4 linked regions of the Arabidopsis thaliana genome follow. The protein of the gene in region 1 purifies or fractionates together with the protein of each later gene. This does not show direct contact. Each region holds a gene or a part of one and is shown in the gene's direction. Other genes may lie near its edges.

Region 1 (5,767 bases):
CTTCTCTGTCCGCTCTTCGTAGTGTTTATCAGTCTGCAGAGTTGGCTAAAGCATCGAAACCGGTTGCATTCACAATCGGTGCCTCACTTGTGGTTCCTGATATTTCCTACAGATGGCATTTACCTGAGCCTAGTGCAGTCGATATGTCTGGTTCTTCGAGTTGTGTGTCTGAAAAGAATAGAACTGTTGTGGTTTTGCTTGGATGGCTTGGATCAAAGCAGAAGCATCTGAAGAAATATGCTGATTGGTACACTTCAAAGGGTTACCATGTCATTACATTTACTCTTCCGATGAATGAGATTATGAGTTATCAAGTTGGAGGGAAAGCAGAGAAGAACATCGAGTCGCTGGTTAATCACTTGGCTGATTGGTTGGATGAAGAGCAAAAGAAAAATCTCGTCTTTCACACCTTCAGCAACACCGGGTGGTTAACGTGAGTTTAATATCTCTGTTTTTTTCATGTGCTTACATAGTTACATGGCGGTTTTACATTTTACTAAGCGAGTTTCTCATCTATGCAGATATGGAGCCATTTTGGAAAAGTTTCAGAAGCAAGATTCATCATTGATGGGAAGAGTTAAAGGTTGCATAGTGGACTCAGCTCCTGTTGCTGCTGCAGATCCTACGGTAAGCGATGATTCTTGCATTCATAGCCATGTTTATATGGTCATTTGGCTTGTGCTAAATCATAGGCTTGGATACCTGATTTGCTAGACGCTGATGGGTGCTATTCTTTTTATAGATTTCTGCACTATTCGCTTGAACTTTCTGGATACTAATTTGGCTTTGTTAAAACAGGTATGGGCATCAGGTTTCTCAGCTGCGTTCTTGAAGAAAAGCAGTGTAGCCACTAAAGGATCTGCGAGCTCATCATATGAGTCAAACGGTATAAACATCTCCCAGCCTAAACCCGCTGCAACAGAAACAGCTTTGCTTTTGGTTCTTGAAAAGTTCTTTGCGGTGATTCTAAATCTTCCCAAAGTAAACAGGTAACATACAATAAAACTCCGCGTTTCGTCACTCATTCTTTTACCCAAATCCTATGATTTCACACTAACAAATGCGGGCAATCATATCTCTTCACTCATTCTTGTCACCCATATCCTATGATTTCACACTAACAAATGCGTGCAATCATATTTTTAACAGGAGACTTGCCGATGTTCTTGACACATTATCAACAGCACAACCAAGTTGTCCACAGTTATACATTTACAGCTCTGCAGACAGAGTTATACCGGTGGAACAAGTTGAATCATTCATTGTAGAGCAGAGGAAAGCAGGACATGAGGTCCGTGCTTGCAACTTCATATCTTCACCTCATGTAGACCATTTCCGGAGTAACCCAGAACTGTATACAGCTGAGCTCAACCATTTCATGAACAACTTTGTCCTTTCTTGCTGCCACCATTCTTCATAGCGACTTCCACAAGTGTTGTTGTTGCTAACCATTTTTGGGGTCCTTTTAACTCTTATACAAGAAAGAGAAAAATAGTTACTGATTGATGATTCTTTTTGGTTTGGATTGGTTTATAGATTCAAATTCATTATTCCTTTGTAAATTGTTGGATATTGTACATTTAGGAGAATGAAGATTCAAGAAAGTGACGTCCTTGTCCTTTGTAGTGGAGATTTGGATCTTATGGTTGTCTTTTGTTATTTGTTCAAAGAGGGTTGTTAAGAACCCAATCATAAAGTTTTTGGCAATTCTCATAATTTTTAGAAGTATGAGGGATCACAATCGTATTTCTTATGAGACGCTGGTTCGTCAACGATTGCGTTTTGACAAACGCAAAAGTTTGATTTGCGTTGGAAGCGGCAGAGATCGATCTGGGATCTTTTTTTCTTTTTGCCGTATGTGTCATTTTGTGAAACTCGAACCTCTCATTCTCTCTTTCATCTCCTCCTCTTACGTAACCCTAACGAAGTCGAAGATTCTCTGGTAGATCTATCTCGATTCGATTCGATTCCTCTTTTTTCCCAGAAAAGTCGCTATTGAAATCGAACGAAAGTGTTGAAGATTTTACCAGTCAGAGGTATATATATATAGAGAGAGAGTTATGGATTTGGATCAATGGATTTCCAAGGTTAAAGATGGTCAGCATCTCTCCGAAGACGAGCTTCAGCTTCTCTGCGAATACGTACGCCTTCTTCTTCTTCTTCTTCTTACTTGATTTCTTCTCTTGGTCGATTAAGCTTCTTGTGCTCTTCTCTGCTTGGTTTGATCTGTATTTATATACCTTAGTGGAACGTGACTTCGATCTGGTCTGTAGTGATTTTAGGATTTTTCTTTCTTTTCAACTATGGAGGCATCAATTTTGTAGTTTAGATACCATTTTATGGTCTCCTTTCTCAGCGATTGATTTATAGATTTGCGAAGATGAATCATGGTGTTAACCAGAAGATGTTTATCATAATGTTATACAGGTGAAAGAGATTCTGATTGAGGAGTCAAACGTACAGCCTGTAAACAGTCCAGTCACCGTATGTGGTGATATCCATGGCCAGTTTCATGATCTTATGAAGCTTTTTCAGACCGGAGGTCATGTTCCCGACACCAATTACATTTTTATGGTACCGAGTTTTCTTTTGTGGTGTCTTGTATGACATATTGATATGAAATTATGAATACAATCATAATCTGGTGTGGGAAATTCGCAGGGGGACTTCGTGGATAGAGGTTACAACAGCCTTGAAGTCTTCACTATTCTTTTACTTCTTAAAGCTAGGTAAGGTGCTCATAAATGTTCTGGAGATTCCTGTTATCATTGAATCTTTGCCTTTAAGTTTTTTTTTGTTCGTGCTTAATACGAACTTATTGTTTATTAAGCAATTAATCTTGATAATTATTTATCTTTCTTTGGAAGAAATAGTCCCAGTAACGTATTGCATTCAAAATTAGTCCAAACGAGAATGATATTGTTTCTTTAGCATCTCATGTTTCTCTGTTCTTTGTATTCTAATATGTAGATATCCAGCCAATATTACACTTTTGCGCGGAAATCATGAAAGTAGGCAGCTAACGCAGGTATGTGTTATTCTGTTCCACTTATATCTATTATTCTGCTTTTCACGCTGTTCCTAGGAGGTAAGCAATGTTGATTATCTTCTCGTTGTTACAGCAGGGTTTTGAAAGTTCTGATTTTGTACTACATGTGGCAATGTCATGTCAGATGTAGACATCGATGTTAGCTAAGATGCATTTTATGTGAATCAAGTATTGGAAAGCTAATTTCAGAAGGTGCTTCATATAGTACCAGTCTCCTTTTTAGCATGTGTGTAATCCTTAGTGTTCTAGTTGATACATAGGTTTTTAAGGAAGAAAGTGTGGTGATAATTTTGTATTTGAATGCATTCCTGGCAAACCTTTACTAAGACTTAGTCTGCAATCATACCTCTTAAAGTGCAATTCAAATATGCATTTCGTGAATCTGCTGACTAGATGATCAAAATTATACATGGATTCTCGACATTGAACTCCTTTATAACACAGAACCATTTGATTTACTTTTTTAGGTGTATGGTTTCTATGACGAATGCCAGAGGAAGTATGGTAACGCTAATGCGTGGCGATATTGCACAGATGTTTTTGACTATCTTACCCTGTCAGCTATTATAGATGGCACAGTAAGTGATTTCTTAGCAACTTGGCATTGTTGATGAGAACACATATAGCTGTATGTTATACTAAAATAGTTTGCTTTGTCTAGGTTCTATGTGTTCACGGTGGCCTTTCCCCGGATGTCCGGACAATTGATCAGGTTAAACTCTGCTTTTATTGCTTGTGGCTTTCACCCGTCAATTATGCTTCTAGCTTGGCATGTTATTAAGGTCCTCCACTCACATAGATTTGCTGTGGGCTCTAGATAAGACTGATCGAGCGAAATTGCGAAATTCCTCATGAAGGGCCCTTTTGCGATCTTATGTGGAGTGATCCTGAAGATATTGAAACATGGGCGGTTAGTCCACGTGGAGCTGGTTGGCTTTTCGGATCCAGGGTTACCACTGAGGTATGTTTACTTTCTCAAAAGCTTGAATTGATACTGTAACTAAGAAATTAATTTCACATCTCTGATCTTTGGTTCTGGCTTCTTGTGCAGTTTAACCATATCAACAAGCTGGATCTAGTATGCCGCGCGCACCAACTTGTACAAGAAGGTCTTAAGTACATGTTCCAAGATAAAGGCCTTGTAACTGTGAGTGTCCTGCTTCTAATGAATTGATATTTTTTATTAGTGGGCGTTTTGAAACTCTGCTTAGTGATTGTTAATTTTGTTTTGTTTGTGAAGGTATGGTCTGCACCTAATTACTGTTACCGCTGTGGGAATGTCGCTTCTATATTGAGTTTCAATGACAACATGGTGAGCCTCTCTTAGTCTTTCCTAAATGAATACTCTAATCTTCTCTGTCAGCAAGAAGGGATTCTATTACTTCAGTGATTTTAATCATTTCTTTTAAGATTCTACTCTATCAAAATATGTACACTCTTGTTGATTTGCTATGTGCCTCTTTGAATTAATGGATCTAGGAAGATTATAGAAAGTAATTTAGAGAATTTAAATCAAGTAAGCCATGTGCAATGAGGTTTGAATATCTGTGTGAGCCATAGATTCTGTTTCTGCATTTGTAGTGGATTTTCATTGACCATAGATTCAAGCTGTCTGTGCTACTAGGATCCTCCTTCCTGCATGGGTTAGTGATGAAATCGATTGAAATGTTTGTATTACCAGGAAAGGGAAGTGAAGTTCTTCACAGAGACAGAAGAGAACAATCAAATGAGAGGGCCAAGGACTGGAGTTCCGTATTTCCTATGAAGAATCACACTTATTATATTTGCTGTGATGATGAAGCCATTGCTGCCATTGGCAATATGTTCAGTTCAATGTGGAAAAGGTTAATATATGATTATATATATTATCTACTGATGGGTTTCGCTTACTATCATTATTTTTGTCCTTTAGGTTACATTTCCCTTGTGAAAGTTACAAGTCAAACACTTTGGTAATAGTCTTAGTCATTTTGATTCTCTGCTCTCTTTTCTTTCCCCCAATCTTTCTTCTGTAATGTTATTTTTTTCATTGTTCACTTGTACTGTTTCCTCTGTTTTTGTTGTTGTTGTTGTGAAGATGACATTAATTCTAAAATAATCAAACATCGTTACAAATGGGACAGTATCGCAACAATAAATGAATACCTGTCGGTCTCGAGCTATTCAATCATTTCATTCGGCTTTTGGTGTGTTGCCTTTCAGATCTATGATACAGATTGTTGTCTCAAGTAATGGAGAGAGGGGTAGTCCTTACAATAAAAAAAAAAAGTTATTATATGCAGTCATGAATGTGGTAAAAAGAATTGCAATTTTTAGTTTGTAATTTTCAGTTAATTAATCTTCACTATATAACTACACTCCTATGAGTTGCTCAGTGAGTTGCATGCTTGTATGATTTAAAATTAATAGTAACTCTTTTTATTACAAAACAGTGAAACACTATGAGAAGTGGGGGAGTTCAGTTCTTGTTCTGTTTGCCGATGAACATCAATGTTGCTTGGTCATCTAATAGAGGGAAATCATAAAATATTAACCTGGTGGTCCTGGTCAATGGTTTTTTTAAAAGAGTCATTGTTTAAGTCTTTTTTTTTTTTTTTTAATGCTAATAAAAAGGTTTAATCCTCCATGCTGGAGAAGCGATCATCATCAACCGAAAGAGAGTAATAGAGACAAAATGGGTTCATCATCATCTCCATCCCCGAACGACGCCGTACTGGA
Region 2 (4,825 bases), on another chromosome or scaffold:
CATCTAAAAGCTCAACCACCGACGCGCTAAGCGGCGTTGTCTTCGAGCCGTTTAAGGAAGTAAAAAAGGAGCTCGATCTCGTCCCTACCAGCTCTCATCTCTCACTCGCTCGACAAAAGTACTCAGACGAGTGCGAAGCCGCCATTAACGAGCAGATCAAGTAGGTTATTCTTTCTCACCCCAGTCTCTTAGATTCGGTATTATAATCTGGTTGATTGGCTATAAGATTTGGTAACTTGGAACCTCATGTTGATTCTGCTTATTGTTTATGAACCTGTGAATTTGAAATTCTTCAATGGATTTTGGTTGCAGTGTGGAATACAATGTCTCGTATGTGTATCACGCTATGTATGCTTACTTTGATCGGGATAACATCGCGCTCAAAGGTCTTGCCAAGTGAGTCTCCGGTTATTCAAGAGTGTTGATATTTTCGGATTTTTTTTGTTTATCCATAGTTAATTGTTGGTTTCATGGAATCAGGTTCTTTAAGGAATCAAGTTTGGAAGAAAGAGAGCATGCTGAGAAGTTAATGGAGTATCAGGTCTTATGAAAGTTATTTCCATTTGTTTACCTTATTGGAGCTAATTTGGTTCTAACATGTTTTAGTTTTTTTCCATGAATTGCAGAACAAACGTGGTGGGAGGGTTAAGTTACAGTCCATTGTAATGCCTCTTTCAGAGTTTGAACATGTTGACAAAGGAGATGCTCTTTATGGTAAGCTCAAAAATGCTAACACTAATAATCCCAAGTGAAAAAACTTCTTTAGTTTCATATGTCTGCCACATTCTAAGAAATTAGATATTGACACCAATGATTTTGTTAAGCTTTTGAAGAGATTGCATATTTTCACTAGCAAAGACTGAATTTTATCTGAGTTCTTAAGTATTATGAAAATGTATCTCTCATATGGAGATTCAAGTCTCAATGGATATAGGAATTTTAACATACAATTCTGTGATTTGTTGTTGCAGGCATGGAGCTTGCTCTGTCACTGGAGAAACTAGTTAATGAGAAGCTCTTAAACCTTCACAGTGTAAAGACCATCTCTTCTTGAGTTCATACTATATATGTCAAATCCGTATTTGAGAAGTAAATCTAATCTTCACTCGGCAAGAACTGTTCTCAGTTTGGTAATGCTTTGCTTCAACAGGTTGCTTCGAAGAACAATGATGTCCACTTGGCAGATTTTATTGAGAGCGAGTTTCTGACAGAGCAGGTAATTTATTTGGTGTTCTATGTTAGTGGCAAAGAGCTACTGTTGTATATAAGCTATCAAAGAGAATCTAATAGGAATTTTTGATAAAATAAAACATTTCTCAGGTGGAAGCAATCAAGTTGATCTCAGAATATGTGGCTCAACTGCGACGAGTTGGCAAAGGACACGGTACATAAATAATCTCTCACATTTTGTTCTAATCTATAAATTTATAAAAGAACAAGAAAATCCACTTATTCATCCTACGTCGTGCCTCAAACTTGGTTTTAATATATGTCTTTGAATGCTTGTGGGTAATTTCAGGAACATGGCATTTCAATCAGATGCTTCTGGAAGGGTAAGCAGCTTCGAGGGACTCTTGTGTCTACTGTGTTTCTATATGTGTCTACTTTATGTTTAGTTCTTTAGCTTTTACGATTTTGTGAGGTAGTAGACTTCTTTTTCTGTAAGAGACAAAAGACATGATCACATAACTTTATATTCTGGTATAAGGTTCATCAAACCCACCTGGTGATCGATTCTACATCGGTTCGGTCAGAATGTTTTTGGACTGCCAAATGTGGATTCGAGCTCTAGTTTAGTTTGCTCCGGTTTAAACGCAATTCATGAATAAGCAAAGGAAATCAATCCAAACTTACGTTGTGAAAGAAGTTGGGCCGAAAATGTCTGAAACCCGAATAGGCTTTTAACCCCTAACCCCTTGAAACTATCTTGTGGCCCAATTAAAACCTAATTGTTTAACTGACACGGTGCCGTTTAACTTGGCATCTTTGACGCAAGTCGACTCATTTTCCGTTTGTGTTCCTTGCTCATTTCTTATCTCTAGAAACCTGTCTGATTTGCTCCGTCGCCTAAAAAGTCTAAAACCCTAAGTGTCTCCGCCTCGTAGCTTTACCCGATTCAACGAAGAGTGAATTCGCGTGAGCTCAAGCAGTATCGAAATCTACCAATCATGGCGAGTCAAACACCGAATCTCGAGTGTCGGATGTACGAGGCGAAATACCCAGAGGTGGATATGGCGGTGATGATCCAGGTGAAGAACATTGCCGATATGGGAGCTTATGTTTCTCTCCTCGAGTACAACAACATCGAAGGCATGATCCTTTTCTCCGAGCTCTCTCGTCGTCGGATCCGAAGTGTTAGCAGTTTGATTAAGGTCGGAAGAATTGAGCCTGTCATGGTTCTCCGTGTTGACAAAGAGAAAGGTTACATTGATCTGAGCAAACGTAGAGTCAGCGAGGAAGATATTCAGACTTGTGAAGAGAGGTATAACAAGAGCAAACTTGTTCATTCTATCATGCGCCATGTTGCTGAGACTCTTTCAATTGATTTGGAGGTAAAATATCGTAGTTCAAATCTGGGATTATCTACTGGATTTGGATTTTGCTTGTTAGAGATATTATCAAATATCATAGCTTAGTGATGTGATCGTTGAATAGAAATTGATTTGAGCTTTCATGTTGCAGGACTTGTATGTGAACATTGGTTGGCCTTTGTATCGACGACATGGTCATGCTTTTGAGGTAAGAATTTTGTGAATTGGAGATTCATTGTGTATCTCTATGGTTATTTAGTTCTCATATATAATTTTCTTTTGTTCAGGCTTTCAAGATCTTAGTGACGGATCCTGATTCAGTGTTGGGTCCTCTCACCCGTGAGATCAAAGAAGTTGGGCCTGATGGGCAAGAGGTATATACTTTGTTCTCTGGCATTGTTTTAGCGGTTAGTACTAACTTTATTTGGTGCTAATCTTACAAGTTTTCTGTTTGTAGGTGACTAAGGTTGTACCTGCTGTTACGGAAGAAGTGAAAGATGCACTTGTGAAGAACATTAGGAGGAGAATGACACCACAACCAATGAAAATCCGGGCTGATATCGAATTGAAGTGTTTTCAGTTTGATGGAGTTGTTCACATTAAGGTCGTATCTCTTATTAGATTATCTTTAACTTGTGAAATGAATACATTATGATTTCATTTGATTTTCTCACCCATGCTTGTAATTTCAGGAGGCTATGAAAAATGCTGAAGCCGCTGGAAATGAAGACTGTCCTGTTAAGATTAAATTGGTTGCTCCACCTCTGTATGTCCTTACTACTCAGACACTTGACAAGGTTAGGCAATCTTCTATCTTGCACTATGATTTACTTGGTTTGGTAATTGGTATATTATAGAAATCCTCCCCTACTTATCTTTAAGAGGTTTATGATCTCTGTTTAGATTGTATATCCACTAAAGCTACTTGCCAGAATTTTGAAAACACTGTAGTTGCAAGGAAAGTAAATGCTTAAGAAAACACTGGACATTGCAACTTTGTTTGCCAATTATGTAGCTCTGCGGATTTGTCTTCACTTAAACCATAAATGTGTAAATGCTATGTTTTGTCCCATTTTATCTTCTCAATTTCTCAAATATTAAACAGGAACAAGGGATTGAAATTCTAAACAAAGCCATAGCAGCATGCACTGAGACAATTGAGACACACAAAGGCAAGCTTGTCGTTAAGGAGGGGGCTAGAGCTGTGAGTATCTTAAATTAGTTTTTTTTAAGTGATGAACCGTCTCGAGTTGCATGTCACAAGAACGAGCTTTTCTTTTGTGTTTTGTTTAATTTGGTTCACAACCGCCTATTAATGTTTATAATCTATGTCAAATATAGGTGAGTGAACGTGATGAAAAGATGCTGACAGAACACATGGCTAAGCTACGTCTTGACAATGAAGAAATGAGCGGCGATGAAGATAGCGGAGACGAAGAAGAGGACACTGGTATGGGCGAAGTGGATCTCGATGCAGGTGCCGGAATCATCGAGTAAGATTGCCGGATTTTTCTTTCTATTAAATCTACCCAATCTCAACAGTCCCAGTATTTTGGTTTAAGCTTTGACAAGGCAGTAGAAAAACCTCCGAGAGGATTTATGTGCTTTTTGATGACTCTGAGGCATTTTATTTTACCCATAGGGGGTGGTTACATATCAATCATACATTCATGGTTTTATAAAAGATTTGATTCTTTGCATATGTTACTACTGCTCAAGAATATGTTGCTCCACCACATGACTCATTATTATCTTAGGAAAACTTTGGCTCAATATGATCATACTTTTGAGTTTAAACCTCAGGAAAGTAGGTTGATTGGATCTGGCAATGATAGGTGTGTAGATTTAATTCAGATCTGATGTCTCCGAAGATGCAGATATTCATCAATTACTACTGCGATCTTCTATTGAGAAAATTTACCAAAAATGAAATTCTTAAAAATCCTCTGTCTGATACATAAATGGTTAACTTGCAATTGATTCATAATTAAAATGATTTATTACAAGATCAAACATCTTGTCTTATACTACTAATCAGAAAAGAAAAATTCTTTCGGACACAAATCCTTTTTTAATCTGTCGGCGCATTAAAAATTACTTAAGCTCTCTCTGCAAAATCGAAATGTGAAAGTTGCGACTTTTGGAGCTCAGCTCAGCTCACACTTTCCTCTTCCTCTTACCTGAAACGCGTCTCGTAACACTGATCTCTAATGATCTTCGTCTCCAATGGCGATATCAGTACAACACGTCGTCGTTTTACTCCTCTCCACTCTCCTCATCGCCATCACCTTCTT
Region 3 (5,584 bases), on another chromosome or scaffold:
TTGGTCCCATATTCGCTATGAAAAGTGTTGGACAAGGATCTGCCGCCTTACTCTGTCAAAGGAACAAAGATTGTCATGTTCACTGGTAAGAATAGTTTACCTCACTGTTTTTCGTCCAGACAGAAAACAATACTCATATGAAGTATAAAATAGGCAGAAGCTTACAGGTTTTCTAGAAGTCGGTGCCCTCCCAGCAACATTAGCAATTCCTTGACTGAACGAGCAAAAAGAATTTAATGAGACCCTGAGTTTCGTGAGCTAATAGCTAAGAAAGAACAAGCACTCTCGTAACCAGTATCTAGACATGTGAGCTAGGACTAGTTCAGCTAATCCTTAAGTAGGTCAGATTTTCAAGGCAGAGGTACAAGAAAAGAGTGTGCAACAAAGAAACAGAATCTAAGCATTCACAAGGAACTAGAAATGTGCTCAAGTAGTGCAGATGACCTTTGTGCAGGTGAATAACCAATTGTGTTGTAAGCAGAACTACTCATTCCAGGAGTTTGAAAGCTGCCAAAACCTGCTAGTGCCCAAACGTGCAAGAATGTGCAGTGTGAGTTTTCAGAAACGTGAAACCATGTTGACGGCACTTAAAGCCCAAGTGTGAAATCTTAAACCAAAAAGAGCTAGCATGCATGAGCGTGATGGTCATGAAGATTGGAAGTTTGAAAATATATATACTACACAAACATTCAGTTACAAGAAACATAAAATACAGAAGGTTACAAGAAGCCTCAAGATGAAGGTGTGTGCCAATGATCTTACCAGATTCAGTAGTAGTGTTCCAAGACTTGAGTTTTTTCAAGCTTTCCCAACCATCATCTACCATATCACAAAAATCACAAAATAAAAATTAACACAACAATAGCAAAGGTCAAATTTTTATTGAGCTACCGAACCGAAAGAATCCTACTACTTGCCTGTTCTTGAACGCTTAGATTTGGGATTTGATTTGGCAAGGTCAATGTGAAGAGTAGAATGCTTTTCAAGATCAAACACCATTCCCTGAAAGGTTCAGAAATAAAATTCAGAAAGTTTCTTAATCTAGGCAAATGACAAAGCTTATTCACTTACGCATACAAATCCCAACCGAATGATTTCAATTTACTAGATTGAATTAAGAACAACCATAAAGATACCAAATTTACTTAATGCTTTGTAAGTAGATACATCGGCGACACATTGCAAGAGCAAGTTTGAAGAAATTTGTACTCACATTGAGAGCATGCATCACCGCTACAGCTGATTGCAGATCCGAGAACACAGCAAATGCGAAGGGCTACCAAACAAATAAAGTAAGATTCTCAGTCTCTTCGCCGGGAAACATCATTACCCAAATCACAAATCCGGAGAGATAGAAAATGATTACCTTAGCTCCATCTGAGCTCCGGAGATGCGAAGTCTCATATCCTGGGAACTCACGAAAGAGATTGTAGATCTCCCGAGGCTTGACATCTTCAGGAAGTCCGGCGACGAAAAGCGTCCTAACCTCATCGCGAGCTCCAATTGAGACATGGGTAGGCAAATAGACGGAATGAGCTGAAGTAATTGGAATCGGAGAAACTCCCGGCGGCGGAGGAGGAACCATCGCCGGTAAATTATAGTGAGAATAGTAAGCTTCCAAATCATCCATTGACAACGACTTAATCTCGTGGCCGGTGAAAGTCGCAGTTTACAACGGAGAAGAAACTAATCGCGTTACTTAATGGGCCGTTTAAAGCCCATTTAAATATCGGCCTTTTTGACCCATTGTTCATCACCAGGCGTAGGATAATAGCATGTGGTTGCACACACTGTAACATAACACTCTCTCTCTTTTTTTCTTCTTCTTGATGACAATTGTTCCTATGTTCAAAGATCTGCAACTTCATTCATAACAGTTCTTTTTCTCTCGTTCTCTGGTTTAAAGCATAATGACGGAAGAGCTCATCGACCAATCACCACCACCTGACCCAGACCCGATTCAAAATTCGAATTTAATAATCCACCCAAGACGTGTTCCTTTCGAGCACGGCCTTCTTCCGATCCAGAAGCTCGTTTTTACCGACCCGATTCAAACTCTAGCTCCGATCAAGCAAAAGTTAGCTTCTTTGGCGACGAATCATCGCGTCGGATCTGCTGCCATTTCCGATGCACTCTCGATCTCCGATGACCATGCGCGCCTCGTTCTCGAAACTCTCTCTTCGGTGCTCCATTGCGAGACTGACCCATTGGTTTTGGCCAAACCTGAGGAAGTTGATTCCGTGGGAGCTGATTTGAGGGATCTGATATTGTTTCTCTACATTCAATCGTATAAGAAGTTATTGCCTAGGACGCATAAAGACTCTGCTTCTGTGGCTGATGTTTGGCCTTCGACTTCTGCTTTTGATGGATACTTGTCGGCATTATCTCCAATTCAGGCAAGCTTTTTTATTCTCTTAATCATGTAATGTGGCTCAAAACGTTATCTTGTGATCTATTTGGTTTAAAAAATTTCATTTTGCATTGGATTTTACTATAATTTTGCAATGCAAGTTAAATAATATTACGTTATCATTCAGAAACATATGAAAAGGATTGTCTGATATTTGAAATATTTTACCGATAATTGTTCTCATTACTGTTTCTATCATATGGGTAGAGACATCCTTGTAGCTGTTGAGTTTAAGTTAAATTTCCTTTCATCATCTTGCAGCTTGTTCGTAGCAACAGCCGTCGGTTTATGCCATCACCGACAGATGAAGAAGCTCATCAATTATCGTATCTGCAAAAGCACATTGCAAATATTATTTCTCTCCTTGCAGAGCCTGTGGAGGGACAAGGAGATGATTCTTTGGTATGTGCTAAACTTTTTTTATGTTTGTATCAGATGGATAGAAAATTTTATGTTGTGATGCAATATTATGGGAAATGGAAAAGAACGAATATCTCATGCTAGATGGTCCGAATCTCCTCCTCAGGTCCTGTCTATGGAGAGTTTGGAGCACATTGGGTTTCTTGTTCATTATGGTGATAAGGGATTTGATGTACCTTCTTTAAGCCAAGCTACTCCTTTTTTTGCGAATTCTGATCCTGATATGCCCGCTGTCCCCGTTCCTGCTTCCCAAGTGAATGATTGGCTTCTCAAAGACATAGCTTCCGCCTTAGAAAGCATTTCTAACAGAATCTCTGGGAAAGAAAATGGGGCATCTAATGCCTCTGATCAGAATGCTGCAATGGCTGATTCTAGTGTAGCTCTTAATAAAGTTTCATCTAACGACAGAGGTCCATGTATTATTGAGGGAGTCTCTAAGACCTCACTTTTCAAGCAGGCTTCTGATCTTAAGGGTAGATCAGTGAAGGTCCGTATTGAACAACTAATTTGCATTTTAAACAGCAATCCCTCATTTAGTTTCGTTTACTCATGTATGCACGTCAATTGCATGTTTTGTGTATTCTGCAGGTTGCCAATTGCCATGATTCTGTTATTTATCTGTTAGCGCCATTGAGATATGCAACTGTGTATGGGTGTTCTGATTCTACTATCGTTCTGGGAGCTGCTGGCAAGGTACGGCAAATATACTCCTTTCTGTTTTAGTCTTTGTTAGCGAGGTTCAGGTTAGAATGCAGTGATAATATTTTATGTTCTTTGCAGGCAGTAAAAGTTGAGCATTGTGAGAGAGTTCATGTGATTGTAGCTACCAAACGAATTTGCATCGCCAATTGCCGTGAATGTGTGTTCTTTTTGGGAGTCAATCAGCGACCTCTTATAGTTGGTGATAACCACAAACTACAGGTGATATGTCTATTTAAGATTGAGCTGCATACATAACTCTTCTTTCCCGCCCTGATATTCAGCTGAAATTAATAAATAGACTACAGTTTTTCTTTTAACTCTAGGCTAAATCTTTCCTGTGTTAATATCCTGGTATAGTCATGATCGTATTAATGGTTCCTGGTGTTTGGAAAATTGAGCATGCTGTTAAAGTCACTTCTTCAACTGAGTTAAGTGGAAACATCTTCTGATGTGTTGTCTATAACTGTTGGCATCAATGTGACTGTTATCTGTTCCAGGTTGCTCCATATAATACATTTTACTCACACTTGGAGGAGCACATAACCGAGGTAGGAATTCAGCCAACTATCAACAAATGGAACGAATCCTTGGCGCTCGGAGCAATTGATCCGCATGACTCACTATCACATCCGACTGGTGCCTCTGATAAACAAGCTGAACCGGCTTCTTGTGTGGACCCTGACCAGTTCACTACCTTTTTGGTTAGATTCCCCTTTTTGTTAGTTTAATTTTCCTCTAGTAACTAGTGATATTGGTTATTAAGATTGTGTTCGTGGGTTAATTTCTCACATCAATGTCTCTGGTTCAGATCCCAAACTGGTTTGCGGGTGAGGCGATTGGTTCCACGAAAGACAATCCATTTCCATTGCCAGATGCATATAAGGCAGTGCAGCAGACAAACGTATGTTTTTTATTTGCTTTCCGCATAAAATTGCTCGTTTCTTTTTCATCCATACTTCAGCATCTGATCCCTTAACTGTGTTTTGGTTTTGAGCAGCTTAAGAACTTAGAGGAAACAAGACAATCCTTGAGAGAAACACCTCTCGAAGAAAACCGAAAACGAGAACTCACTACAGCGTTCCACATGTATTTCAAAGACTGGCTATACGGTAATCAAATAAAATCCCCATTCTAGTTCATTTACTCCTTTGGCCAGCCAATGATCTATATGTATCTCTTTCTTTTGGTGACAGCGACGGGAAATATTCGGCAACTTTACTGCCTACAAGGCGATTAAGACCAATGGCGATTGAAAATGTCAGAGTCACTGTAGAGTTCTCTTGATCCGTTCCTTCTCAGAGATTTGCTAGCACGTTTGACATCAGAATTTAACTGCACAGCACGCTCTCTAACTCCTAAAGCTCTGTTTTTTTGTGTGTAGGTTTCTCTCTGCTTTTATCGTATTTATTAGTCTTAAATATCCACGTTTTTGTCCTTGAAAAACATTAAGCCATCTTGTCTTGTTGTTGATTTCTTTCAATTGTTATAACAACTTTTCTCAATACCATATATATAAATCTTTTAGTAACTACTACTTGGGAATTTTAAATATTTTGAATTTTCTCTTAAGCATCACATTCAAAACAGGCAGAAAATGTGAAAACATGTCTGCCTCAATTGTTTTCTTTGTCTTGTCTTAGCTTGTTGGAGGAAAGAGCTTCTCTGCTTGGTCCGGGAAGAACTGTATGAACAAATAAGCACCTGCAAGTTCAACAAAGTCTTACTCATAACCAAAGGAAAGACCAAACAACATTCTCTATATTCTTCAGCTCTATGTAAATTAAACTTACAGACGAGTACTGTCCCTAAGACTGCTGAGATCTTGCCTTGAATTGTGATAAGCCCTGCTTTGCCTGCATTCTGCAACTCAGTGGAACCGACGGATTCAAATGTCCCTAAAGTCGCAACAACAGTAAATCCGATTCATTATCCTTCTCAAACCAAACTATCTCCAAAACCCCTCAAGAAATGATCTTAGATGAAACCAAATGGGATCAAACCTGGTTTTACAGATTGTAGCCCTGATGTTACACAAGCAATGTTTTCGTAACC
Region 4 (7,613 bases), on another chromosome or scaffold:
TATTTAAACGTGGCCTAGCTCGTGTTCTTTCAATCTCCAATTATTACTCTATTAATAAGAGAAGACGAGTTTTGCTTTCGATACTGTCTTTCAACTATTCCGACACAACCAAAGCTTCTGGAAACGTTGTCGTTTGTTATCAATAATGGCTGTTGTAGAAGAACCGATACTTTCAAGATTGGATCGTATTGATTTCATGGTGAGGAAGTTAGAGGAGATGAAAGGAAGCTCGCCTAGAAGCTCGAGCCCATCGACTCCATCTAGTGGGACTCAGCCATCGTCAATGGATCTGTCGTCACCGAGGAGCATAGGGAAGGTACACTGCCGTTCGATGGAACAAGTCAGGGAGGAGACTGAGCGGAAAGGAACTTTGCTAGAGAGACTTAATAATGTAGAGGAGCAAGTGCTTAAGCTGTGTTCACAGTTTGAGGAAGAAGTTGAAGAAGAGAGGAAGAGAGAAGATAAGACGGATAAGGAAAAGAAGACCCCGAAGAAGAAGAAGGGATTGAGGAAGCTGGTTGATAAAGTTGTTGGATCTTCTTCTCCCACTAATATCCATTCCAAGAGCTGGCGTTGTTGAGTCATTGTAGTACTTTATTACATCATCATGTATACTTCAACGTACCACGTTTAAATGAAAGCTTCTCTTCTTTTTTCTTTGTTGAAGCGCTAGTGGAAAAAAATATCTTTAGGTCTCTCACTCTCTTGTTTGATCGTTTGTTTGTTGAGGTTTTTTGTTGTCCAGTATGCACTTTTTAAGTGAAAACAACAATGAATTTTCAGTGTACTTTCTATTTTTCAGAGTGCACTTTTCAAGTGAAACAATGAAAATTTGAAGGAAAAACAAGTACACACCTATAAATGATTAGAAAAACGAAGATGTGTGTAGTCATTTCCATAAACGTAACGATAAATTCTCAGTGGAGATGGTTAAAATAAACCGTAAATAGTTAAAATTTAACAAATGCCCAAGGTTTTGTGTAGAATAGAACAATTTAATTTTATATCTGTTCTCCGGGTTTTCTTGCTTCCCGATCAAATTGGGGTGTCAACATTTTGATCTAAAAATCAGTGACATCATATATGAGACTTTTCAACGTGTTTTTTTTTGTCTAAAAAAATTTCATCATTCTCTTGTCAAGTATTATGTAAGGTTAACAAATCTCCTCATAAATTTTTTAAAGATCGAAAATTTTCTAAAAATATGTAAACTTTTTTTCGTCTATGGTTTCTTAAGGTGTGAAGAAAAAGAGGCTGTTTACGGAGTTCACTCTGTTTGACACTTCAACCAACTTTTGTCTTTATATGTTTTTATTCTACACCATTAAATCAAACTTAAGACAATCATATGCATTTCTTTATCCACAAAATTGATTTGCTTATTGTACTTCATCATCCCGTTGTAAAATTTATAAGCACAATTTTCGCCAACTATTTATTCCGCAAATTGAACAGCTGATTTTATTTAAATTAATGTGATCTTTATCACAACAAATTCACAAGTCACCTGCTGCTGGTGACGCAAGTATCCCCCTCTCTGTTACAATATCTCACGATCATTCAATTGTATCCATAAAGATGATGTATGTTACTATCACCACCACCACCACCATCGTCATGAATCATGATCATCAGACAACGACTACGAAAAAATCATAAGTCTACTTTTATTAGACACACAAATCTGTGAAAATGGCGATTTAGTTAATAATAATTCGCTCAACTTTTTCTTAATCAATCAAAGGAATAAAATAACAAATAATAATAAGACCATTTTTTACTTTTCCCCTTCTTTATGCAAAATTCGGCCTCTTAATTTTCAAAATTTTCGACCTCCGATCTCCCATCTCCGCTTCCATCATCTTTAGGATCTCTCAATCTCTTTCTTCACTGATCGATTAGGGTTTTCGAGCTGAAATCGATACTCCTCCACCGCGAAGAAGCGATTACCTAGATTTTTCTTCTAGGTTTCTGGCGGATCTCGCCAAGTTCTCCTTATTCTCTTCAGCTACGGCGAAACTTTCTCTAGCTCCACTCCTCCCTCGCCACCATGTTTTGGAAGCTCACATCTCTCTCTGCATCATCTCCTGTGAGTTGAATTTTTAGATGTCGTGTTGTATGTTAGCGTTCATCTTGTCTACAGATACTGATATGCTTTAGAATTAGATTATTGGAGTTTCTATCCGTTGCTTTGCTTTTTCATATAATTTATGTCGAATTTTTGGATTTGCTAGATTTCAATTTTTTGAATTATTGTCTCTGAGTCGTGAATTGTTCATGTATTGATGTTCTTTCCTTTTGTTATGAGCGCAGGTGGAGATAATATTAGACAAAGAAAATTTCACGTTGGAAGAGCTTCTTGATGAGGAAGAGATTATTCAAGAATGCAAGGCTTTGAATAGCAGGCTCATTAACTTGTAAGCTTTTTTTAATCATTTATAATTGGCTTATATTCCTCATTATCTGTTTCATAGAACCAGATAAACCCTATGGTGTATGTTGAATCCTATGTCTCCTCTATCTGCGGAGTTTTAGTTAAGGAGTCCCATATTTCCTTCGTATTTTCTTGGATGACTTTATTGATTGGGTATTAATGTCTGCAGTCTAAGGGATAAAGCTCAAGTGGAGCAATTATTGCGGTACATTGTTGAAGAACCTCCACAGGATGCTGATAGTAAACGTGCTTTCAAGTAATATGCTTCCTTGATTCTAACTGGAATTACCTTGTCTTACCATCCTCTCCTTTTGCCTTTTATCCACTTTTCTTTTGAATGGTTCTGGATTTCTTTTCTCTCTAACTAATAATAGTTTCTTCTCTTTTAGGTTTCCATTCATCTCTTGTGAAATATTTACATGTGAAATTGATGTTATTCTAAAAACTTTGGTCGAGGATGAAGAGGTATTTTTCATTCATCCTACTACCTTTTCCTCAAATAGCAGTTCATACTTTTCACTTTTCTGTGCATCTGGATTATGTTTATTGTTATCCTAGATTCTCATTTGTTCGAATAATTTTATCTTGCAGCTGATGAACTTGCTTTTTTCCTTTCTGGAACCAAATCGTCCTCATAGTGCATTGCTGGCAGGCTATTTCAGCAAGGTATTCTCTCTTACGATACATAAGTTTACGTATTAGCCAAGTTCCTGTAATTTTCTTTTGTTTTGTTTGTACCGATACATATGACTTCATTTCAAGGCTCCGAGAAGTGATTCTTACTTCTCTCTGTTTGGTGTAGGTTGTCATTTGCCTTATGATCAGAAAAACTGCAGCGCTTATGAATTATGTAAAAGTAAGTAATAACACATAGTTAAACGGATGGTAAACTATATGAGAAATATATTATGGAAACTATTTGAACTGATTTCTAGGATTATCCAGGAGTACTGTAGAATACGTCTTATTTTCTGTTAACTCTTCTATTCAGAATTGATATTACCTTCCATTGTAATCTCGCAAGCCAGATGTCCGTCTATTTAGTAAATTGTTAGTAGATGAGATTGACATGACTCTATTCTTCAATTGCTGGCAATTATATTGATGTGACAGACAATTTAGTTGAATTTTTTTGTTATTTGTTTTGTATTCAGTTCTCAAAGTAACTTTTGATGATCACAGGGGCATCAAAATGTTTTCTGCCAGTTAGTTGATTTGATTGGGATAACATCCATCATGGAGGTAATTGGTTTGACTTAGACTCAGTGCAACTTGGTGTGGTTTCAGAGGTCTTTTTTGCTATGATATTTACGCGACTTTTTCTAGGTTTTGGTTCGCTTGGTTGGGGCTGATGACCAAGTCTATCCCAACTTTCTGGATGTGATGCAATGGTTGGCTGATAGCAATTTACTTGAAATGATCGTGGACAAACTTAAACCATCTGTAAGTGGTTAAGCTTTTCTATAATCATCCCAGAGACAAGAGGCTCTTGGTTTTCTCTTTGATACTTGTAGGTGGTGTAAATCTAGGATATCTGATGATATTACTAATTTCTTCTATCATCTTCATTCTGATATGTTTCTTGCATTACAACTTGAATCAGAGTCCTCCGGAGGTTCAGGCAAATGCAGCAGAAACATTATGTGCAATTTCTCGGAATGCACCGTCAGCTTTAGCTACGCAGCTCTCTAGCCCTGGGTTTGTAATCTTTCTTCCATGATGATTCCTAATGCTTTGATAGATGATACAAAAGTGTTTCACATGGCAGCACAACTTTTTCCCTGTTTTTGCAGCTACGTTGCAAAGATATTTGGTCATGCTCTTGAAGACTCGCATTCAAAATCCGGTCTAGTTCATTCACTTTCAGTATGCACCTCTCTTCTGGATCCGAGGAGATCTGCTGTTTCATCTTCTATGTTCAATTCTTACAGAGGTCAACATATGTTCGAGTCTCCTGTCCCAGTTTCCCCAGAAACTATTGGTGCCATGCTGCCCAAACTCAGTAAGTTGGATCCTATGATGCACCATCGTCACATGACCATCAAGATTATTAATTTTCTGGCTTTTTTATTTGTTGCATGCACATAATCTTATTGTGCACTTGGACAATAGTCAATCCTTTTCTTATGTGATATTACTTTCCATTTGCGAGGATACCTAGAGTATTTAGCATCTATCTGGACGTTCTGTTTGATCTTCCCTGCTCTCTATTTGGTCTCTTCTATTTTGGTTTATATTGATAAATGGAAACTGGTTTTACATAATTCTGGAATGCTTACGTAGCACATCTTGGATATGTATGATACTGTCTCATACAAGTTTTTCAAATCAGGTTTTATGCATTCAATGACCTTAAGTAATATTTTTTTTTTTTTCTGCAGATGACTTGCTTATGCTTCTCACTGTAGCATCTGATAGCACAGTATTGCCTACAACATATGGTGAACTGAGGCCTCCTCTCGGAAAGCATCGTCTAAAGGTCAGGTCCAAACATGGAGCATTTTATGGAAGACATTGTCGTTTTTAGGACACCAACAGTGCTCTTAATATATTGTATGTAAAGTCTCTATACTTAATTAGACTCACTTATCTTATTTTCTTTGTTTCAGATTGTGGAGTTCATTGCAGTTTTGTTGAAAACTAGAAGTGAAGCTGCACAAAAGGAATTAGTCAGTTCAGGAACAATCAAAAGGACCCTTGATCTGTTTTTCGAGTAGGTTTTGCTAAACTTAAAATTTTGTGATTACCGTGTGCTATTTCTACGAGATCTTAAAAAATCAAATACTCTCGACATATGAAGGTACCCGTACAATAATGCTCTGCATCATCAAGTGGAGAGTATAATACTTTCTTGTTTGGAAAACAAGAGCGATTTGATGGTTAACCATATTCTTCGAGACTGCGATCTGATTGGCAAATTCCTCTTGTCGGACAGGGACTCAAACCTCTTAGGTGATAGCCAGGTATTACCATTTGCTATGTTCACAAAGGTTTAACTGATCATCAGCATATGAAAGAGTCATCTTAATACAGCTCCAAGTTAGCTCCATTGACTCATTGCTCCAGCGTTCATTAGCTAAACAAATATTCTCTGGCATTTTCTTTTTCTTTTGTGCGAGGTAGCCCACTGTAGCTGCCTCCGGGAAAAAAAAACCTCGTGTCGGGTATGTCGGGCATATCACAAGAATATCAAATAAAATTGGTCAGTTGAGTAACAGCAATGGCCAGATAAAGGCATACCTTCAGGTTGGTATAAAAATTATACGTGTCGTGTTGTTTTTCTTCTGCCGCTTTTTTGTCACTTCACACGCATAAAGAATGTAAAACCATTAGTTGAGTCTTGTGATGAATGGTCCTAGCACTCTGTTGGAATCTACCATGTTTGCTGATTGTGCTTTGTTCATTCCCAAATCTTTAGGAAAACAGCGAATGGAATGAGTGGCAAGGTAGTGTTCTGCAGGACCGCAACACGGTTGAAAATGTCAACAGATGGGGATGTGGGTATGTTAACCTCTACTCACAAATCATCTAGTAACCATTTAATTGGTCAGTCTGCTACATAATGCTGATTATGGATGTAAAAATTCATGTGTGATCCTTGTTCCTCTTGGACAAAACCCTCAAAGATAATTCTGCATTGATGACTGATGGTATCATAGTCAAATAATATTTCTTCTCATGACGAGACCACTCAGTAAATGCACCATGATCTGGTCCCGGGTTTTGGATTTTATCTTCACTCTTTTTGGTTATAAAAATTCCTAAACTAATTGTTACGTGTAGGCGCCCAACTACCCTACAAGATAGGACAAGAGATAGCGATGAGGAAGACAGGGATTACGATGTTGCAGCTCTGGCCAATAACTTAAGCCAAGCATTTAGATACAAAATATATGGAAACGATGACAATGAAGAGGTATCTTCTCACACTAGTGCTTTTTCTTCAATTTATGAATGATTTCCTGGGTACTGAATTTATCGTCTTTGTATTTCTCTCAGGACCACAATGCCCTTGATAGAGACGATGATGTAAGTCTTGCAAAAATTCTTCTCTCCGCTTTTTTGAAAAATCAAGGAAACTATCAACATCTTTTATCACACTATGATACGTATGGGGGATGTACGCTAATAAGAGTTTGCTATTGAAAATTGGAATGTGTTTATATACTATACAGGATGTTTACTTCGACGATGAATCTGCTGAAGTAGTAATTTCATCCTTAAGACTTGGGGATGACCAAGGAAGGTGAGTTTATCTTTTTATTATCTGTTAATACTGGTGTCCTCATGTCCTTGCTTTAAACTACAGTTACTGTATCTTGGTGATTGAATTATGTCATCTCTCTTGACCAAAAAACGAATGATGACGTCTCTCAAAATAATGACTTGAATCTTTTTTGGTATTTTGCCGCAGCTTGTTTACAAATTCGAATTGGTTCACATTCCAAGACGATAGATTCGGCAGCACACCCTCTGACACAGCGGGTTCGAACACGATAGACGTGGAATTGAATAAAACCTATAATGCCAACACTAGCAGTAGTGACGATGATGAAGTTGTGGTTGGAGAAGAAGACGATGATCTAACTGGAAACCCAAAAGACAACGCGTTGAACACAACTGAAACCAACTTTCAAATGGAGAGTCCACTGGATTTCTTCGACTTCAACACCTCACAGAAAGCTGAAGAAGCTTTTGCTGAACAGCCACCCGAATGGGTCGGGTGGGGAGAACCATCTGATATGCAAGCGAGTGGCACCGGTCTGAACCCATTTATCGATGATGATGATGATGATGACAGCAAGCACATAATGAACCTCGACATACCAATGGCTGAGGTCAAATCTGAATCCATGATTCCAAACGGGTCAGAAAGATCGTTATTTGAGAAGGACGTGGAATTTGTGGGAGTGGAACCAGAAGGGGCAGAGAAAGCGATGGAGCAAGCGATGAAAGAAGGGATAGTAGGAGAAGCTGGAGTGATGAAGAAGAACAAGGAGATGGCTGAGGACTCAAAGCCGGAGGAAAGTTCAGGAGGAGTGAAAGAGTTCAACGATAACAACTACTGGAAAGTGGATCAAGAAGTTGGAGTGTTGGAATGAAAAAGTCGTTACCTTGTACAGTGTCATTTTGTGTGAGAGTATGATACAAAACTTGTTATTAGTTAAAATTTGGTGCA

The links.
Region 2: the proteins of FYPP3 (region 1) and AT2G40290 fractionate together in Arabidopsis thaliana (co-fractionation; one large-scale study listed by BioGRID). This does not show direct contact.
Region 3: the proteins of FYPP3 (region 1) and AT2G42230 fractionate together in Arabidopsis thaliana (co-fractionation; one large-scale study listed by BioGRID). This does not show direct contact.
Region 4: the proteins of FYPP3 (region 1) and AT1G07990 fractionate together in Arabidopsis thaliana (co-fractionation; one large-scale study listed by BioGRID). This does not show direct contact.

The regions. Positions count from the first base shown.
Region 1 is NC_003074.8:6,959,948-6,965,714, forward strand, and holds FYPP3 (flower-specific, phytochrome-associated protein phosphatase 3), read left to right. Parts: upstream 1-1,788; 5' UTR 1,789-2,060; coding exon 2,061-2,141; intron 2,142-2,427; coding exon 2,428-2,574; intron 2,575-2,661; coding exon 2,662-2,729; intron 2,730-2,970; coding exon 2,971-3,028; intron 3,029-3,516; coding exon 3,517-3,627; intron 3,628-3,710; coding exon 3,711-3,761; intron 3,762-3,866; coding exon 3,867-4,010; intron 4,011-4,100; coding exon 4,101-4,196; intron 4,197-4,289; coding exon 4,290-4,361; intron 4,362-4,730; coding exon 4,731-4,814; 3' UTR 4,815-5,259; downstream 5,260-5,767. Other genes in the region: AT3G19970 (alpha/beta-Hydrolases superfamily protein), read left to right, coding at 1-433, 522-627, 799-989, 1,150-1,420; AT3G19990 (E3 ubiquitin-protein ligase), read left to right, coding at 5,649-5,767. UniProt on the Arabidopsis thaliana protein: Catalytic subunit of protein phosphatase 6 (PP6). Dephosphorylates phosphorylated phytochromes, with a preference toward Pfr forms.
Region 2 is NC_003071.7:16,828,233-16,833,057, reverse strand, and holds AT2G40290 (Eukaryotic translation initiation factor 2 subunit 1), read left to right. Parts: upstream 1-1,831; 5' UTR 1,832-2,168; coding exon 2,169-2,552; intron 2,553-2,682; coding exon 2,683-2,739; intron 2,740-2,818; coding exon 2,819-2,905; intron 2,906-2,988; coding exon 2,989-3,135; coding exon of another isoform or gene 3,136-3,186; exon of another isoform or gene 3,187-3,223; coding exon 3,224-3,328; intron 3,329-3,636; coding exon 3,637-3,735; exon of another isoform or gene 3,736-3,739; intron 3,740-3,872; coding exon 3,873-4,028; 3' UTR 4,029-4,292; downstream 4,293-4,825. Other genes in the region: FER4 (ferritin 4), read left to right, coding at 1-160, 313-396, 481-541, 627-714, 972-1,033, 1,151-1,216, 1,321-1,384, 1,520-1,557; AT2G40280 (S-adenosyl-L-methionine-dependent methyltransferases superfamily protein), read left to right, coding at 4,758-4,825. UniProt on the Arabidopsis thaliana protein: Functions in the early steps of protein synthesis by forming a ternary complex with GTP and initiator tRNA. This complex binds to a 40S ribosomal subunit, followed by mRNA binding to form a 43S pre-initiation complex.
Region 3 is NC_003071.7:17,592,890-17,598,473, reverse strand, and holds AT2G42230 (C-CAP/cofactor C-like domain-containing protein), read left to right. Parts: upstream 1-1,808; 5' UTR 1,809-1,910; coding exon 1,911-2,396; exon of another isoform or gene 2,397-2,576; intron 2,577-2,671; coding exon 2,672-2,812; intron 2,813-2,936; coding exon 2,937-3,317; intron 3,318-3,418; coding exon 3,419-3,523; intron 3,524-3,610; coding exon 3,611-3,751; intron 3,752-3,889; coding exon of another isoform or gene 3,890-3,895; intron 3,896-4,029; coding exon 4,030-4,233; intron 4,234-4,340; coding exon 4,341-4,433; intron 4,434-4,529; coding exon 4,530-4,641; intron 4,642-4,725; coding exon 4,726-4,769; 3' UTR 4,770-5,063; downstream 5,064-5,584. Other genes in the region: AT2G42240 (RNA-binding (RRM/RBD/RNP motifs) family protein), read right to left, coding at 1-52, 166-214, 445-517, 763-819, 918-1,002, 1,214-1,276, 1,367-1,630; AT2G42220 (Rhodanese/Cell cycle control phosphatase superfamily protein), read right to left, coding at 5,169-5,233, 5,323-5,427, 5,533-5,584.
Region 4 is NC_003070.9:2,475,363-2,482,975, forward strand, and holds the start of AT1G07990 (SIT4 phosphatase-associated family protein), read left to right. Parts: upstream 1-1,590; 5' UTR 1,591-2,050; coding exon 2,051-2,089; intron 2,090-2,313; coding exon 2,314-2,417; intron 2,418-2,603; coding exon 2,604-2,690; intron 2,691-2,823; coding exon 2,824-2,899; intron 2,900-3,025; coding exon 3,026-3,100; intron 3,101-3,236; coding exon 3,237-3,290; intron 3,291-3,616; coding exon 3,617-3,676; intron 3,677-3,760; coding exon 3,761-3,877; intron 3,878-4,037; coding exon 4,038-4,132; intron 4,133-4,227; coding exon 4,228-4,436; intron 4,437-4,815; coding exon 4,816-4,913; intron 4,914-5,043; coding exon 5,044-5,147; intron 5,148-5,234; coding exon 5,235-5,397; intron 5,398-5,557; coding exon 5,558-5,680; intron 5,681-5,852; coding exon 5,853-5,935; intron 5,936-6,217; coding exon 6,218-6,350; intron 6,351-6,433; coding exon 6,434-6,463; coding exon of another isoform or gene 6,464-6,580; exon of another isoform or gene 6,581-6,609; coding exon 6,610-6,680; intron 6,681-6,848; coding exon 6,849-7,536; and 1 more. Other genes in the region: AT1G07985 (uncharacterized protein), read left to right, coding at 146-580.